2 linked regions of the Arabidopsis thaliana genome follow. The protein of the gene in region 2 interacts with the protein of the main gene of each other region in a pairwise test. Each region holds a gene or a part of one and is shown on either strand. Other genes may lie near its edges.

Region 1 (9,601 bases), about 13 Mb from region 2:
TGGTTCTGCTTCTAAATGTCAGGTTTTGCTTCTCCATTAATGACAAAACTGTATGCTAATTCCGGTTTGCATGACAGGAGCATTTTGTAGGTAGATTTATTGAGCATTTGACGCTATACCAGCGGACTTCTTACTCAGAGATAATCGCAAGCTTGTGGCTCTCCTTGCGTCTTCAGGTACACTAATACATCTTTGCTTACATTTTGTAGAACATTTTTCATTCACCTTTTGAGAATTGGTAACAATGTTTAGTTTCATGTGTCTGCAATAAATATGGAAATCTCGAAAAATCGCTGATAAGTTGAGTAAAATGGTGCAGTTGTTAGGATCAATGATTGTCTTATTTGTCGCTGTAATGGCTGTCCTCGGCTCCGGGGGGAACTTTCCAATCAGTTTTGGTACACCTGGACTGGTAAGAAACTGCAGTTTTCATAAATATATAGGAAAGTGAAAAGCATACTATTTATAATTTGGATCACAGGTGGGATTAGCGCTCTCATATGCAGCTCCATTGGTTTCTCTGTTAGGAAGCTTGTTAACAAGTTTTACTGAAACAGAAAAAGAAATGGTTTCTGTTGAAAGGGTTCTCCAGGTAATGATTCTGATTCTTTTTTTGGTTTGTCAACCGAAATTAATTGCAGCTCAAAAGAGCCATTCCTGAGGAATGTTGTTTACATATATGATATGATGTGGTTCGGTACAAATTCGTCGTGCCAAATTATCCACTTCTACATTCGCACTACGAGAAATCAAAGATAAAGATAATGATTCTGATTCATTAAGTAATTTTTGTATGTTAGTGTTACTAATTACATGAACCATGCTCTCCTGTGTTATTAGTACATGGATGTGCCTCAAGAAGAAGTTTCAGGTCCTCAATCTCTCAGCGATAAGTGGCCTGTTCACGGATTAGTTGAGTTTCACAATGTGACAATGAGATACATCTCAACTCTGCCTCCGGCCCTCACCCAAATTTCTTTTACAATCCAAGGAGGAATGCATGTACGTGTATCGCCGAGCACTCTACAACAGACTTGACTTTTTCTGTTTTTATCTTTTCTCCCAACATATACAATTTATATGAAGTTATCGGGAAGAGACTATCCGCTAGAGAGAGCACTCTACAACAGAATTGACTTTTTCTGTCTCATGATTGTTTTGTTTTCATTTATCAGGTAGGAGTAATTGGAAGAACTGGTGCCGGGAAGTCCTCGATCTTGAATGCGCTTTTCCGGCTTACTCCTGTTTGTAGTGGAGAGATATTGGTGGATGGAAAAAACATAAGCCATCTTCCGATAAGAGAACTCCGTTCTTGCCTCGCTGTTGTTCCTCAGAGCCCTTTTCTGTTTCAAGGATCACTGAGGTGAGAACTTAACTCCTTCAATTCACTAACCAAAGGTGTTGCCTGCAGTTTCATAATGAAAAAAAGTTGTGGTTCTCGTAGGGATAACCTTGATCCTCTTGGGTTGAGTGAGGATTGGAGAATCTGGGAGATCCTAGACAAGTGTAAAGTTAAGGCAGCGGTAGAAAGTGTAGGAGGGTTAGATTCATATGTAAAGGAATCTGGTTGTTCCTTTTCTGTTGGACAGAGACAGCTTTTGTGCCTTGCTCGTGCTTTGCTCAAGTCATCTAAGATCCTATGCCTTGATGAATGCACCGCCAACATCGATGTTCACACAGCTTCCCTACTCCACAACACGATATCGAGTGAATGCAAAGGCGTAACCGTCATTACCATTGCTCACCGCATTTCTACGGTTGTTGATTTAGACAGCATCCTAATTCTTGATCGTGGAATTCTTGTTGAACAAGGAAAACCACAACATCTTTTGCAAGATGACTCCTCAACTTTTTCAAGCTTTGTCAGAGCTTCTCAGTGAAATGTTGTTAGAATCTGATCACTTGTAACTTCTGATCTCTGCTATAATTATCTTGTCATGGAAATTAAGAAAAACTAGTTTCAACTGTAGTAGCTCATTTATATGCTCAGTTTTCCATAATAAATGAGTCTTCATGGACTTGCCTAATCCAAATTCATAAATATCTATCTAATTCGATGGTGATTGAGAACTGAGAAGTAAACAATGGTACTCTTATTGTCTGTTTTTCTTCCAAGAAGTTAGTTCAGAAGGAATTGATTCTTCATTGCAACTTAAAACAGCTTTAGCCATGAGTTTCCCAAGCTATGCATGATAGAGTAAAGTAATTGGCCAAAAATATGTTAAATAGAGAAGCAATTATCTCTCAACAACACAAGAACAAAATGAAATTGAGAGATTCCGGGAGCTTCAGAACCAGTTCAAAATTCAACAACATACTAGTTTTGTAACCCGAACCAGTTTAAAAGAAGAACATTTTGAGTCAAGTTCAACCATGGTTATTTATTTCATTTTTTTTTCAAGGTAACAACATTCTACTAATAACAACATTAAGAAAATTTTAATTTACATATACGTTCAGATTACACTTTTACTTTATCAACTATTCTATCTGCATCTTTACTTTAACTATCGGCACTAGATTATACCATTCAGCAATCTTCAAACGCTTTCCTAACATTGGCGTGACATTTTAACTAAGGACAACAAAGGTGGAGAATACATTAGTTTGAAGCAAGCGTAAAAGTTTACTAAGAATCTTCATCAAATACACATGACATAAGCTTCTCTTTCTACTTTTTGCCTACAAATTAACTTGATAATATTAAATATTTTGTTTTGTTTGGTCATCGCTGCTACTAAAGAAGAGAGATTGCATGCCTAGACGATCAAGCTTTGCGGACAATAGAACGTCTCTCTCGCTGGTACTCAACTTCACCTCTCTGGTGCATTATCAACAAAGCTCTCCTCACCTGCCATTTTAACATGCACATTACCTCAAAAATCCCATTCACATTACTGAAAATTAAACAACAAAGATGTTAGCTTAGGTACCATTGAATCGTTCATTCCCATTCTAGCCAGATCCTCTATCAGTCTTCTCTCTGATAATCGAGCTCCGATCCCCATTCTTCTCTTTATCTGTGTTTCCGCTTGCTGTTTTTTCACACCAATACCAAATTTAGTTATTACATCTAGAGATACGATGATTCTTTCTTCCCCACAAGCAACTAACCTTGATTTCATTGGCCATCTCGCCTGTTATGTTTATCTGTTGATTTATCCCTGATCTTGCTGCATCCATTGTCGAGGTATCAAAAAGTTTAAAAGCTTTGTCTACATCATCTGGTGTGGCCTCGTGTGACCTGACATATTTAACAATGTCAATGGACGGCACATCCCATCAGGTTTCAGGAATCAGGAATCTCTATGTTAATAAGATTACTTACAGTCTCATTTTTGCAAGTGACTCACTCAGTCTGACAATAGCTTCGAGTTGTCTCACTGTGATAGGTATCGGAGCAGCCTCTCCTGTTTCATGTGCACGTCTCTTCATATCCTGTTTAGCCGAAAATTTTATACTGACACCAACTTTGTTTTTTAACCATCTTATTGTCAAATCTAATGTAAATGACAATTACCATTCTGATTGTGACATATTTCCGCTGCAGGTTCTCAGCAGCGTCTTTTGAGAGACGGGGATGACACCTTGCTCGACAGTATTGTATATACCTAACATAAAAAGAGCATTATATTTTAGAGTCATGATTTTGTACAGAAAACTGCGAGAACACATTGTTTTCTCGACGAATGAAAACACACCTTTTGAGCCAATTATCTTCTTTAGAATCTGTGTTTTCATCCGAAAATTTGTTTGCAGATGCATGAACCCTTATAATATGGCTGGCTATTTCCTGTGAAAAGATTATAAACATTAATCATGTCTACATAATAAGCAAGCAACGAAGCAAACTTTCCAATAACAGTGACCTCCATCATTAATCTCTGTTTTCCCTTTTAACTACATAAAATTTCTGAAAGAATTGTTCCTTTCCTTGCTTACCTTGTCTTGGGAATACTTCCTGATGTCCTTGACAATGAAGATAAGATCAAATCTAGAAAGAATTGTTGTCTGCAGATCGATATTGTCCTGAGCAGTCTGCAAATCCAAAGAAAAAAAAACACACCCATCTCTTAAGAATATTGCAAACAAGAATCGGGAAAACCATGATATTGCCAAAGGAGAGTACCAGATTTCAAACCTTAAGGTCATCATATCGACCAGATGGCGGGTTAGCAGCAGCAAGCACCGAGGTTCTAGAATTAAGGACAGTTGTTATCCCAGCTTTTGCAATGGAGATTGTCTGCTGCTCCATTGCCTCATGAATAGCAACCCTATAAAGAAAAAAAAAACATTCCATCAATTCTACTCATAGAGAAAAATTAGATTCGTCAACACTATGATTCAGATTTGAATTACCTATCTTCCGGTCTCATCTTGTCAAATTCATCAATACACACAACACCTCCATCAGCCAAAACCATAGCACCACCTTCAAGATAGAACTCTCGCTGCAATGAACATATGTATAAATAACTGAGAATCTGTCATAGCAACTACTTTTAAACAAATCATAGAAAAACACTTGAAGATAGGACATACAGTGCTGCTATCTCGAATCACCGAAGCTGTGAGCCCAGCAGCCGATGAACCCTTTCCAGATGTATAAACAGCAATTGGAGCCGTCTTCTCCACAAACTTAAGAAACTAGAGAGAAAAAAAATAAGCAATTAAGCTTTAAACATGTAAGCTACAGGTGTTGGAAATAACACAGACATTTTGTAAGGATTGTAATCTAACACTTGAACAGAAGGATGTAAGACGAATATCAAGCAAATAAGAGAGACGTAAGAAAATATAAAAAGAATAACACACTTATTATAAACCATTGATACTGAGACCACATTACAAACCTGTGATTTTGCAGTTGATGGGTCTCCCAAAAGCAAAACATTAATATCACCTCTTAGTTTCACTCCATCGGGCAGGCTCTGAATCAAAGATAGAAATGTATATAAATATATCAAAAACGTATACAAAGTGCACAGAAAATAAAAACTGCTATCACAGTTTCCTACCTTCCTGGATCCTCCAAAGAGAAGACACGCAGCTGCTCTCTTCACATCCTCATGGCCAAATATAGAAGGAGCGATCTTGGTGCAAATGTTCTTGTATACATCTTGACTATCAGCAAACTTTTTGAATTCTTCCTCCTAAAAGTAATATTATGGAAGACAAAACTGATAAATGGAATTGTACAACTAGGCTTCCAAGCAGGCCTAAATGTTTCATAGTAAACTAGTAGCACAGAGAATATTTCCAGAAAACACCATCACATTCATTTGGGAGTTACACAAAGAATTTCATAGAGCCAACAGCTACCTAAGGCATTTGGTTTCCAGTAACAATAATTCAGCCATGTTAACTTCAATAGTTCATTGTGAAACCATGGATGACATAGGCTATCAAATGAGAAAACAAAAAGAACCAAATGATGCGATACTAACTTCGTCAGGAGTGAAGTTGGCAGGGCCACGGGAACTGGCCTCATTTGTGTCTTCCAGTCCAACAACTCGGATATAAGGCTGGCGAATTGCAACTGCTCCTTTATGCCTACATCAGAAAGTAGGAAAAGATGTCCATCATTGTTGTGGTGTAACTCTCCCAGAAAACAATCTACACTCTCATTTGACATAAAACTACAAAGCTTACGAGTTAGATGATGACGAAGCTTGGAAAATGCTGTAGATACCCATTACTGTCAGTCTGGTTCCAGGTACAATTGTTTGTACAAGATGCCGATCAACTGAGAGAAGCATATTTCTTGGAAGCTCTCCAGTAGGAACATCCTTCAAAACTCAGAAGCATTTAATATATACAAGTGCAAAAAAAGCGAAAACATTACAATGTAAATCTATACCTCCGGATTCTCCTGTAGCTTTAAGGTCTGTTGATCAACATACTGGCTCCTATCAGGAACCACCATCCAAGGATCAAGAGGGCAAGGCTCCTCTCCAGGCTAAACAAATTCCAATTTGGTCTAATCAACACCAAGGATAACTACAAACTCAAATCACAAACGAATCAAAAGAACTCACCTGTGGAATATTATCACATGATCGAGGAACAATTGCCCCACCAAGACCCGGACGACATGGAACTTCCCTTGTCTTTTTACAATTCTTACATACCAAAAACACATAAGTCGCCTTTGCTTTCACTCTCGAAGCTGCAATACTAATCCCAGAGATTTTCACCAACTTTGAGATGTACTGTGCCTATCAAGAGTAAAGAGTACATTATAGACATACCCCAAGTAATCTCATTGATACTAAAAACAAAAAAACAGACATACCCCAAGTAATCTCATTGATACTGGATCCTCTCTTGAAGTGAGCAAAATCTGCACATCTCTAGTCAGAGGTTCCTCCATTACCCCTCCCTCATTAGCCTCCCTCATTTTCAATCCAGTCAACACTTCACCAGCTGCTTTCTCAAACTACAATTCAAAGATTGACTCACTCAATACAAAGCTTATATGAACCCTAATTTTTTTTGAAGTCATACCACAGGGAGATAATCGGCAGGAGCAGATCGGATTAAGGAGGGGAGATCGGAATCAAAGGAGAGGAGATCTTCGAGGTGGACAACAAGTCGCTTAGGGTTATCGAGGAGAGCTTCTCTGTAGGGGAAACAATTCTGTTCGATCTCGAAGTTTCGAATGAATTCCTTAAATTTGGTTAAGACGGCGTGGGGACTGATGGTTGCGGCGTCTCCGGCCTCCGGGAACTGCGGCTGGTCGCTGTAGTAAACTGCTCCTTCGTCCCATCCTGACATCGTTGCTTCGTCTCCGTTACGAATTTCTCTATCTCTTTCTCTCTTATCAAAAAGTTCTAAACGAAGAGAGAGAGTGGGGGCAAGGGCTTTATGTCGACTATGAGTTTTGGCGGGAACAATGTGGCGGGAAACTGATGGGCCGAACCCAAGACCTATGGACGGGTAAATGGATTTCGTTGGTTATTGGGTCTTTCTTTCTTTTTCTTTTTAGCTAAGGTTACATTTTTTATCCATTTTTTCTAATTTATTATAAAAAACCAAACAGATAAAAATATAATTATGGACTACATCTAGGAATCTTAAATTTATGAATTGCACATTTTAGAATTTCATATTTTTAAGCTACTTAATATCGTTGTAAGCATTTTCAATTCCATCGTAATTTTCTTCAATGTCACTTAAAATTTAAGGCTATATTAATATATATGTTTAAAAGAATAGTTTTTAGTTTTATAACATTAATAATTTGAAAATTAAGTAACTATAAAAAAGAAAAGAAAAATCAACCATATATATCCTTCTCATTTACGTTAATTACAGAAATGTCATTAACATGATAAATGTTTTTGAGAATATTAGGTAATTGGACACTTTTTTGAAACTCAATTACGCAATAAAGCACTTTAGAAAGAGTAAACACTTTTTAAAGTTTTTTTACTACTACACCATCAACCCAACCTAAGCAATCCAAACTTACCATAATTTACAACCATTACTTTTTCTCTCTTTTCATTCATTTTTTTCTCTACTCTTTACAAAATTAAACACACAAAACACTTAAAATATCTTAATGAAAAAAGGAAATGGTTTGAGACATTATCTCTCTTCTCTCTCATCAAAAACACCAAAAAGTAGATCTAGATTTTTCTTTTTTCTTTCTCTTCTTAGATCTTAAAAGTTGGAAATTTTCAAGATTTTTATTCAGTTTCTCATTCTTTAATCAACCTCATAAGGTTAAAATTTTCATTTTTAATTGCTAGGTTTCTTCTTCTCTTAGTGTATCCATCATTGTCTTGGTCAAATTTTTGTCTTTTTACAAATCTTAGATTTGGCCACCAAATATTTGTGGAAATTCCTCAAAGAGAGAGAGAGAGTTGAATTAAAGAACCCAAACATATATTCTTACTATAAATTTGTAACTTAAAGGTAGTTTGATGCTATTTTCATTAAAACACATGAGCAAATAATGAAAAAATGGAAAAAATACAAAACAAATCAAAGAAGAGTGATAGGCGATAATTTGAAATGACCACATGGTCAGAGTTTGGTGGATGTGTGTTGACGGTCGATAATTCAAAATGATTGTGTTTTGTTAATACTATTCATAAAACCAGTGTTACGTTATGTAAAAGATGTTGATAAAATGTGATGAAACAAGTTTTGTTGGTCATATCAACAAAAGTTTATTTATGAAAATGTTTATATTTATTTATCCACGATTACATATTAACAAAACATAAATACGAGTGTATATCGTAAGATTGTGTATGAACACATCGATCTCAATAATATTTTACGTTTTCAGGTTAAGAAGCGTGCTTTAGATTATCATGGATCAAAAGTGGTGGTTATAGATTATGTACATATAAAACTTAGGTTTTAGGGTTTAGGCTTTAAAGTCAAGGGCTAGGGTTTAATGTCTAGGGTTTAAGATTTAGTATCTAGTGTTTACATTTTAGGATTTAGGCTTTATTGTTTAGGATTTCGCGTTTAGTTTAGATGATTTAGGGTTTTGGGTTGAAGAATCAAAGTTGTCTACAATGATTTAGGGTTTATGGTTACATGTTTCTCATTGGAGATTATATATTCCATTGTTGTCCATATGGATTGGATAATATGGATTTTCTATCTCAATTTGTTTATATTTAGGGGATTTATGTTTAATATTTATGGACAACAACAAGAAGTTTTAAAGTGAAGATCTTAGAATTTAGGGTTTAGGGTTTAGGGTATACGTGATATGGTATATGTATATTGTTAAGGGTTTAGTCTTTATGGTTTAACAGGTTTAGGGTTTAATATCAAGGGTTTAGAGTTTAGGGTTTAGGGTTTAGGGTTTAGGGGTTTAGGGTTTAGGATTTAGGATTTAGGATTTAGGATTTAAGATTTAGGGTTTAGGGTTTCGGGTATAAATTTAGGGGTTAGGGTTTAATGTTTAGAGTTTAGTATCTAGTGTTTAGGGTTTTAGATTTAGTGTTAAGGAACTATGATTGTTTACAATGATTATAGAGTTTATTGTAGATGGTATAAGGTTTAGGGTTAATTGACCATGGTCATATACAATTATTTTTGGGTTTAGGGTTATATGCTTCTTGTTAGATTATATATTTCCATTTTGATCATATGAATTAAATCATATGAATTTTTTATGTTCTCAATTGGTTTATGTTTAGGGGATTTATGCTTAATATTTATAAGCAATAATAAGAAGGTTTAAAATTTAGGGTTTATATGGTAAATGGTATATGATATATTTCTATGGTTAAGGGCTTAGTGTCTATGGTTTAAAGTTTAGGGTTTATGGTTTAGGTGTTTAAGGTTTAGAGTTTAGGGTTTAGCGTTTAGGGTTTAAAGTTTAGGGTTTAGGGTTTAGGGTTTAGGGATAAGAGGTTTAAGCTTAATATTTATGGGCAACATTAAGAAGGTTTGGGATTTAGGGTTTATGGTATATGGTATATGGTATAGGGTATACGTATATGGTTAAGGGCTTAGTGTTTATGGGTTAAAGTTTAGGGTTTAGGGTTTAGATATAGAAGTTAGGGTTTAATGTATAGAGTTTAATATCTAATGTTTAGGGTTTAGAATTTAGTGTTAAGGAACTATG
Region 2 (8,954 bases):
GATATAGTTTAACTAAAGCGTGTATACGATATTTCAGATTCTTAATTGGAAAAGGAAAATCTGTCCTAGCTCCAACTGAAAAAACGAACCACGCACCGACCTACAGAAAATATATATATATAGGTATAGAGAGACTGATGAAAACCTAAAGACAATCGAATACGTAAAAGCTTCACTATGATGATGGAACAAATTTGCAGAGATGATGATTGGATTGTGGACGAGTCTTCGTTGACGAAGCTCTCTTCTCTTGGCCGAGGGAACTTCGGTTACGTCTCTCTCGAGAAGGACTCCAACTCCCGACTTTACGCAAAGAAGTCATCGCCGATGCATCTCAAAAAGATTCTCGAGAAGGAGCTCAGGATCATGCATCGTTTCCGTGATCATCCTCGCATCGTCCAAGCCTCAAACAAGCTTCACTTACAAATCCAACCCTACGAATATTGCTACATCTATATGGAGTACGCCTCCAAAGGTAATCTCCATAGGTTTATATATGGTTTCCGTCGGAAAGAAGAGCCGATACCTGAGTCTTTGGTCAGTCGCACGGCTCGTATGATCCTAGAAGGACTCGAGGCTCTTCACTCCCATGGTTACGTTTACTGCGACCTCAAGCCATCCAACGTTCTCCTCTTCCCTTCCACAACTCCTGGAGAGCCGTGGGATCTCAAGCTTGCTGATTTCGGTTCATCCAAAGAGCCTGACACCGATCATGATCCTACGTCCCTTGGTACTGTTGAGTACATGCCCCCGGACTCTTTTGTACCAAACGGACTGATCGATCCGGGACATATCGATCCAGCCCTTGATATATATTCTCTAGGGTGTGTGGTTAATGAGATGTTTGGAGCTATACCTATCCAGGAGTACTTTGACGAATTTTACGTATGGCATTTGCGTGACGTTATCTCTCCGCAGGCTCAAGATTTCTTAAGGCGATGCGATGACATGCGTTCACGCAGGCCCACCGCGACTGAGCTCTTGAAACATCCTTTTATTACACAAGGACTTCCATCGCCAACAACAGAAGACAACAAGGAGATATCTAGGTCGTTGATTCCAAGTTTCTCGAAGCTTCTTTTGACCTAATCCTCTCTCTATCTCTCTTGTGTACATATGTATAAAAAAAAGAAAAAAAAAACTGGATAGTGAATTTGCTATGGCAAAGCCTAGCCGAGATGTACCAAGGATCGGTTTGACCTTGGGAACTCGTTAAATTGTGTGTGTCTTTGTTCTTTCTATTCATACAAACGAGAGTCGTACGTGAGAGATATGCAATCGAGACCAAAGTCTTCTTCCGTGATAAGATTATCAGATCGATATATCTCTATACCAAGACTTCCATCTGGTGATTTCAATTTACATACGGGGGAGAAGAAATTTCTTTATTTTATAGAAGAGTATACTTTAGTAAGGTCGATTGGTTGAGTTTGTTTCTTACTTGCATCACAAGAAAATAATCTTCTAGTCAGTTTATCTATTTGGTACTTTTTAAAGTAGAGGTGTCACAGTGTGCATGTGCTTTATTCAGTATTTACCATGTCAGATCAACGATGAAAATTAACCGGAATGGGTTTGAAGTCTCCAAGTTTTCTTCTTTCTCAAACATTTTCCATTACCAGTCAATAGCTCAAAAGTTGAACCTTAATAAATAGATAGGAAATGAAACGATATGGTTCTTCTTACTCAGATAACTTAGTGAAAATTACAATATCCAAATAGTCTCGAAACCATAATACATCTTGTTCGTTACGGTGGTTTTACTTGAGCCTCTCCTTTCTAAGTCTTTCTAGTTCCAACACCATTTGCCAGTGCTCTAGTGAAAGCGTAGTCTCACCATAACTCACAGACATCATACGAGCCATTGTCAACAATCTGTGGAACCAAACAACATAATTGTAAGTTTTGCACATATTTGACAAGGATAAACCCTAAGGAGGGCTTTTGTACCTGCTCAAGTCTTGGCTGCCTAAACTACGATCTGTTTGTCTAGCTGCAACCAAATCATTCTCCACCACCTGCAACAAAAATTTGCAGAAAATATTAGTCAAAAGTCTGAAAACAATGGATTTCTTTAGAAGTACCAGATTGGCAGATTCTAACATTAATGCAATAGATATATACATACCTGTTGCAACTCTTGCCCAATGGAGTGTGATAATGATTTGCAAGTAGCTAAGTAGCACCTCCAAGTTTCAGCTGTTTCTGGTGTGATGACTTCCAATGAATTCACTTGAGAAGGTTGAAGAGGTAGAACCAAATCGGCGGGCATTATGTTCGACTTTCCCTCGGAGAATATGAGCATTTGAACATCAGTGGCCATTTCCATTTTGTAATATTGGAAATCATACTCAACCTGAAATAGCAGCAGATTCCATATTCATATTTGAATCTGATTAAAAGTGAATAATGACGTTGCCCTACCTTCTGACATTCCAAGAGGTTTTTAAGCAGATTTGCATTCTCAACTCCAACAGAGTTCAAGGTGCCTGGTTGCAACTCTGTTTCATCCAATATCAAGTGCGTACCATCAGCAATTTGTAGAACTCCAGGCATCAATCTGAGTCATAAAAACAATATAATTGCAGGTCTTTCAAGAGAAGAATGATTCAAAACCATTGTTAAGATTTCGTAGAACTGGATTCTTACCTGTTGATTCCATAGTCTTTCTTGGGACCGAACGAGGCAGTGTTCAGATACTCAATAGTAAGTGGTATAGATTGTGTGAACGGTAGGAGGCTTTTGAGGGCACCACTGAGCTGGGTACCGAAGATAGACATGCTTTCTTTATTAAGGTGTATGAGATTAAGAGAAAGCTTCCCAACAGCAACATTATCTACTCTTCCATGCACCTGTAAAGGAGAAAAAAAACATATGAATATAGAAGGCCGTAGCAGTAATAGCTGAGAATAAAAACAAGTGATCCTTTTTCAACTAATTACCTTTGACAGGAGATGCAATAATAGGAACTGTGCGGCAATGTGATCATTCCCAAGTAGACCGGTAAGGTACTTCATCAAACTCTCTCTTATCTCTTTGAATATTTGGGGGGATTTTGGCTGCTAAATGGAAAGTAACAAGAGATTTAAAACAAATTTCAAAACACGAATAGGTATGAGAGGTATATTTTCTAAATCGATGATACTTGCCTCTGGTAATAACGAAGAACCATGCAGGAAATGCTGTGTTTCAAGCTTTCTATGGATAAGACAATGGAGGCGTGGGACCTTTCCAGAGGGCATCTGAACAGATTCAGCTTCAGAAAGAGCATCAGAGTTTTCATCAAGTGTATCTGTATCCATCATAACAATTGGATCGAAGGTCAACACTCCAAGAAATTCAACCACATCATTTAGCTTCAAATCTGACTCTGGAGAATCATAGATCTGCGTGGCCGCATAAGAATCTTGTCAACAGACTAGTCTTTGCTGCTTTTGTATACACATGTTAACAGGTAATATAAAGAACAATGTAAACATATATTTACCTTGACAAGACAAGGCAGAGAATCTGCACTTGTAGCAGGCGGAATACCAGAAGTTTGTGGAACCTGAGATTCTGAAGCTGATGAAGTAGCTTCCCCCACTTTCTGATGAACATAAAAAACAGTATTAATCAGAAATTCTTCATCAGCCAAAATCTCAATGTCTCATGATTCTTCCCAGTAACAGTAAAGAAAAGTTTATAATATATGGTTTTTTCCACAACTTTGTAGCTTATAGTGTTAGACTCATAAAGACTTTGAAGAAAGACTTAAGAGACTAGAGATCCTTACCATTTTCTTAAAAGGAGAACCATTACGCCCAGCTTCTAAAGTCTGCAATGGTGGCTAAAATAAGTTATTGACAAACAACACCAATAGATGTTGCTACAACAAAATCAGTTTCATATAAAGCAAACATGAGAACCTAAGTTGCTTACACTGGAGTCCATGGAATCAGTCATTTCTTCATCCACCCTCACACGCTTTTCCCTGTTTTGGCCAGTTAGATCCAAAAACCGGTTTTTTAGCTCTTGTGAAGAACATTCAGTCCACTGGTTTTTTCCCGGAACCTAAACATTGCAATCAAGTGTTATTATGTTTAAACATATATGAGAGACCAACAACAAAAAAGAAAGATCCGCATGAGACAAAACATACTGGAACACAGTAAAGCAAGCGACGCTCCCAAACTTGAATTTCAGTGGAAGAACCCTCAGGAAACTGTGAAACATCACTGTACTTGTTTGTTCTCCATGTTGAATCATCCTAAACAGAACGTAAAAACAGAAACAGTTACTGATAGATAAAGATTGAATTCTTCTTTAGTAGAAACCATCAAAAGTCATATTCCTACCTTGTAAGCACCAGCATAGAATTCATTCCCAAGCATGTCCTGTATCATTCCACGAAACCGAACAAGAGTCTTGGGTTGCACCCACTTAATACTTGACGAATCAAGAATTGGAACCTAGTAGACAAAAGAAAACACTATCGGTTAATTAAGAAAAATATCTCAAAACAGATCCTTGAAAAAACCCAAATTAACCAATCTATGGATAGACTAAAACCTAAAGTAAGCTGATTTACTTAGAAACAGAGCCAAAGTACACGAAAAAATCAACCTATTATGCTAATTGGGTAGTAATTAATCAAAACATACTCAATTGCCCTAAACCCAAAAAAAAATAGAAACAGAGTAAAGGTTTTAGGGCAAACCTGGGAGATAGCAGATTCGTCGGAGAAGTAGTGACGGAACAAATCAACGACACCCCAGTCTTTTCCGACAGACGAAGCCGGATCGTAGCCTGAAGACAGAGCATTTACGAAGGAGAATCGGACGGCTCCTAAAGGGTTGGTCAGACAATCGTAAGCTGGTCCTCCCATATCTCAAAACCAACCTTTGATTTCACTCTTTACCAAAGTACTATGTAGCGAGAATCGCCAAGAATCTAGAGATGAAAGATTGAGTCTTTGCTCAAACACGAATTAAGGGCAATGTCAAGTGTGTATAGTTGGGCCTTTCCCGCCATATCTCCTAGGTTATTCCCGCCATTATCCATGCCCATTCTCCAACTTCCAACGCACCGTTTTGGACCCCTCTCCATACGATGTCGTTTCATGTGTATAATAAACTAATTCATTTGGCATATATGATCCTCTGACCATCTTGGTCTTAAGATTTGTTAAAAGTCAAACCCCAGACTCACAAACACAGAAACAGAGATCTATGAAGCTAAACATGACGAATTTACAACAGAGGAATTAGGTTTTCATATATTTAGTTTTTTCATAAGTCAAACAACATAAACCATGCCGACTTCTAAAAGAGAAACAGGTGGAACCTTAAGAGCCACGTCAGGTCCTCTACAGTTCCTTCTCAAGAAATTATAACCGAAATTAACTGCTAATCTCTTCATCACCGATGATCCTTGTTTCGCTTTCACATGTGAATGTCCCAATATAAACGCAGTTCCTGCTTCTTGCGCTGCCAGCAAATCCCTCAGCTCGCTTCTCAGTTCCGCATCTGCTTCTGCTGACGATGTTGATCCTTCGTCCTCGTAACTGTTTTCCTCAACCGCAAACCTCACCCGTCTTATGGTGGCGGTTGGGGCTGGTTCGGCCATTTGTATGACGTCTTCCATGCTTTCGACTGTGGAGAATCCGATGGAGACACTCTCTGGTTGGAGATTGTCTTCGATCTCGTAAGCTACTGTTCCGATCACGGCTAGTCTTGACTCGCTTGAGGATTCGTTGGACTGGACAGAACGAGCGTTGTCGTCTTCTTGTTGTGTTCTTTTGTGCCAATCGTAACGGATGAAATCCGCCAGCTTGCTTACGAGCTCTGTTTCGAATGAGTCCACGTCTTGATGGACGTCACGGTATCCATACCGAACGATGCATCTGTAAGAGCGGTGGTCAACGGGACCAACACGACCCACGAGGTATCTCTCAGCAGGTGGAACGAACGGGACAGGGACAGATTTCACGCAGACAAAGACAAGAACACGGTGGAAGGCAGGGAGGTTGGTGACGAACCGGGAGAAATTGGCGGGGATTCCAGAGGTTAAATCCGTGAAGACTAAACCGATACCTGGAACTCGAGAAATTCCGAGGCTTGGACCCAATGCAAGAAGCCATTCAAGCGAGACTTTATTCTGGAGATCAAACTCGTATTTCTTAATGGTGGTGTAGTGCCAAACGAACATGATGATCATGAATATTAGAGATAAGAGGATCGGAAGCCAAGCGCCTTCACGAAATTTGGTGAGTGAGGCCGAGAAGTAGAGAAGTTCTATTGAACCGAAAAAGAGAAGGAACGCTAGCGCTAGAATTGGAGGCTTGTGCCAGCAAAGAACAATGACTAATGAGGTAAGACATGTTGTCACTAGCATAACCGCCATTACAGCCAAACCTGCAACCAACCACAAAGGAATATAATCTCAAAGTCGAAGAATCCAAAATTCTTGAGTTGATAAAAGAATCTCATACCTGATGCATTTCCCAGGTGTTTGACATCTCTAAACCCGATAGTAACAGCGATGCAGAGAATCATGAGCATCCAGTTAATCTCCGGTATGTAAATCTGACCATGCATCTTATCGGACGTGTGAATGACTTTGACTCGAGGGAAGCATCCGAGAGACTGGCTCTGGTTTATGATTGAGAAAGTCCCACTGATGATCGCTTGGCTTCCCACAACAGAAGCAAGAATTGCTACAGCAAGCACAGGCCAGTGCAAACATTCTGTTCAAAACCATGGAGTTATATAAACAAAAGATCAGATTACGTTTTCAATGATCAACACCAAAAAAAAATTGAGTTCTTGAAGTAAGGCAAATTACTGACTTGGTACAGAGACGTAAAACCCAATTGCATGAGCAGAATGGTGATGCCGGGATAAGTAAGCAGCTTGCCCCATGTATGCCAATATAAGAGCCGGATAAACCAGGAAGGTAAACGCAATCTACAGCAAACAAAACAAAGATTTATTGAAACCTGTGGCGATATAACAATAAGTAAATCATCCAAGCTAAAGTAGAAACTAACCTGAATTGCTGCGTAATTGAAGTGACCAAGATCAGCAAACATGGCCTCAGCACCTAAAACAAAGACTCAACGAGTTAGATTACTGACATTATTTATGGCGACATTAACAATATCGATTTCTTATATATCTCACCAGTTATGCACAACAAGATCCCGCCTAGAGACATCCATCCGCTTACTCTCGTCTTTCTCAAGAACATGAACATGTATGTAGGAGAAAGAGCTTTGTATATATGAGGATTCCACTGTATTATATTGTACAAGCCAATACCACTTATACAGAGCAGCCAAGTGAGGACAATAGGCGCGAAAACAAACCCAACACGATGTGTCCCAAAATGCTGAAGCGAGAAAAGGCAGACTAGTATGAAGCAGGTAATAGGAATTACTGCATCTGCACGTTTGAACAACAAAGGAAGCCATCATTCATCAGAACTCAAGTAGCAAAAACTAACACTACCCAGTCTTTGTGTACTTACATTGGTGATGTTCTTTAGACATATTCAGCTCAAGACCTGACACAGCAGAGAAAACTACATACAAGAAAAAGAAAAGATTAGAAAACTCTTTTAACTAGCAATTGGACACTGGAATATCTGTCTACAAACACAGAAGCATACATACCGGAGATAGCTGGAGTGAGAAGTCCATCTCCAATAACCATACAAGTCCCAAGAAGAACAAGAAGCAGCAAAGCAGTGTGTAACCACTTGTGTTTCTCCAGATATCTTTTCACACACGAGTCATGGTTCTTCTCCGGTGGATGCTCCAGCTTATAAGTGGACAGTGCCTCATCAGAGACTTGTCGGTTTGGGAGGAGGCTAACTTTGACATGACGGCAGATCAATGAGTACAAAGCAAAAGTTCCACCTGAAAACAAATGTAACAAACCTTCATAAGCAAAGCAAATAAAGTTTCTCGATGATTTTCTGCTCTGAAAGTGTCTCTTCCCCTCACCTTCTCCGTTATCATCAGCTCGGAGGACAATGAAGACATACTTAAGCAAAGGAACCAAAGTTAAAGTCCAGAAAACAAAAGACATAACACCGTAGATCTCTTCATTGGTCTCTGAATGTTGAATGTCCTCAGCAAAAGTGCTCTTAAAGACATAAAGCGGAGAGATACTCAAGTCTCCATAGACAACACCAAGACTCTGGTAAGCAAGAAGCAAAACCGACCTCCATGATTCCTTCTGCATAATTGTCAAAGTTCCAATCTTTATTCAGCTCAAAATTCCAAAATTGAGCAAATCTAAAAGAAAATGGACAACAAACCTTAGAAGAACGAGAACCACAGCATTTTCCGAGATTGAGATCCATGGTTCTTAAATGTTCAGCCTAACACGCTAAAGCTGAACAACCAAAGAAAGAAGAAGATAGATTTATGAATCTGAAGCAATTGAAAAGTAATGTCGAAAAGAGTGAAACCTACAAAGTAACAATAAATAGGACAACCAAACTCTGTTCCCAAATTAGAAGGAAGAAAACAAAGTAGGCCACATTCACGCACATGCCATTCTCATATCCACGAATTTAGATAAAACCCAGAAAAAGAAGAACAATCAAAAACCCTAAATCTCTAAAATTGAACAACAATTACCCAGAAAATGAAAAGACTTGAAAAGTGTAGAGCCTAGTGTTAGGCTTTTAGCCATAAATGGAGATAAATCAATTATTAGCTTTTGCCCATTTTGCCAACTGTGTTTTTTCCACTTACAGAATTTTTAATTGAAGTATGAATTTTTCTGGGTGGATGACGTGAATCGATGTGTAGGAGTGAAGAAAGAGATGATCTGCTTATCATTGAATTAAAGATATTGAAGACAAAGAACGACGATACAAGATAAGAACCCATAGCCTCCACATGCTATAGCCAAATTAAAAAAACGTCTTTGTCTTTGCGTTTTCTCGGGGAAAAAAAGAAA

The links.
Region 1: the proteins of ETG1 (region 2) and MCM5 interact in binary tests that used the Arabidopsis thaliana proteins (3 or more experiments, as listed by UniProt).

The regions. Positions count from the first base shown.
Region 1 is NC_003071.7:3,520,612-3,530,212, forward strand, and holds MCM5 (Minichromosome maintenance (MCM2/3/5) family protein), read right to left. Parts: upstream 6,890-9,601; 5' UTR 6,778-6,889; coding exon 6,508-6,777; intron 6,440-6,507; coding exon 6,296-6,439; intron 6,219-6,295; coding exon 6,039-6,218; intron 5,960-6,038; coding exon 5,861-5,959; intron 5,790-5,860; coding exon 5,653-5,789; intron 5,554-5,652; coding exon 5,448-5,553; intron 5,154-5,447; coding exon 5,019-5,153; intron 4,932-5,018; coding exon 4,854-4,931; intron 4,648-4,853; coding exon 4,543-4,647; intron 4,452-4,542; coding exon 4,360-4,451; intron 4,275-4,359; coding exon 4,142-4,274; intron 4,039-4,141; coding exon 3,943-4,038; intron 3,794-3,942; coding exon 3,702-3,793; intron 3,612-3,701; coding exon 3,521-3,611; intron 3,439-3,520; coding exon 3,329-3,438; intron 3,245-3,328; coding exon 3,115-3,244; intron 3,036-3,114; coding exon 2,934-3,035; intron 2,852-2,933; coding exon 2,768-2,851; 3' UTR 2,373-2,767; downstream 1-2,372. Other genes in the region: ABCC13 (multidrug resistance-associated protein 11), read left to right, coding at 78-176, 320-412, 482-592, 841-1,002, 1,176-1,363, 1,445-1,880. UniProt on the Arabidopsis thaliana protein: Probable component of the MCM2-7 complex (MCM complex) that may function as a DNA helicase and which is essential to undergo a single round of replication initiation and elongation per cell cycle in eukaryotic cells.
Region 2 is NC_003071.7:16,930,840-16,939,793, reverse strand, and holds ETG1 (E2F target protein 1 (ETG1)), read right to left. Parts: upstream 5,174-8,954; 5' UTR 4,868-5,173; coding exon 4,700-4,867; intron 4,452-4,699; coding exon 4,338-4,451; intron 4,250-4,337; coding exon 4,142-4,249; intron 4,054-4,141; coding exon 3,922-4,053; intron 3,818-3,921; coding exon 3,776-3,817; intron 3,590-3,775; coding exon 3,488-3,589; intron 3,387-3,487; coding exon 3,150-3,386; intron 3,060-3,149; coding exon 2,943-3,059; intron 2,853-2,942; coding exon 2,650-2,852; intron 2,561-2,649; coding exon 2,425-2,560; intron 2,357-2,424; coding exon 2,129-2,356; intron 2,019-2,128; coding exon 1,951-2,018; intron 1,876-1,950; coding exon 1,761-1,875; 3' UTR 1,522-1,760; downstream 1-1,521. Other genes in the region: AT2G40560 (Protein kinase superfamily protein), read left to right, coding at 178-1,089; KT2 (potassium transporter 2), read right to left, coding at 5,278-6,395, 6,473-6,727, 6,830-6,947, 7,031-7,083, 7,164-7,424, 7,510-7,563, 7,655-7,900, 7,988-8,222 and 1 more. UniProt on the Arabidopsis thaliana protein: Associated component of the MCM complex that acts as a regulator of DNA replication. Binds to the MCM complex during late S phase and may act by promoting the disassembly of the MCM complex from chromatin. Required for sister chromatid cohesion.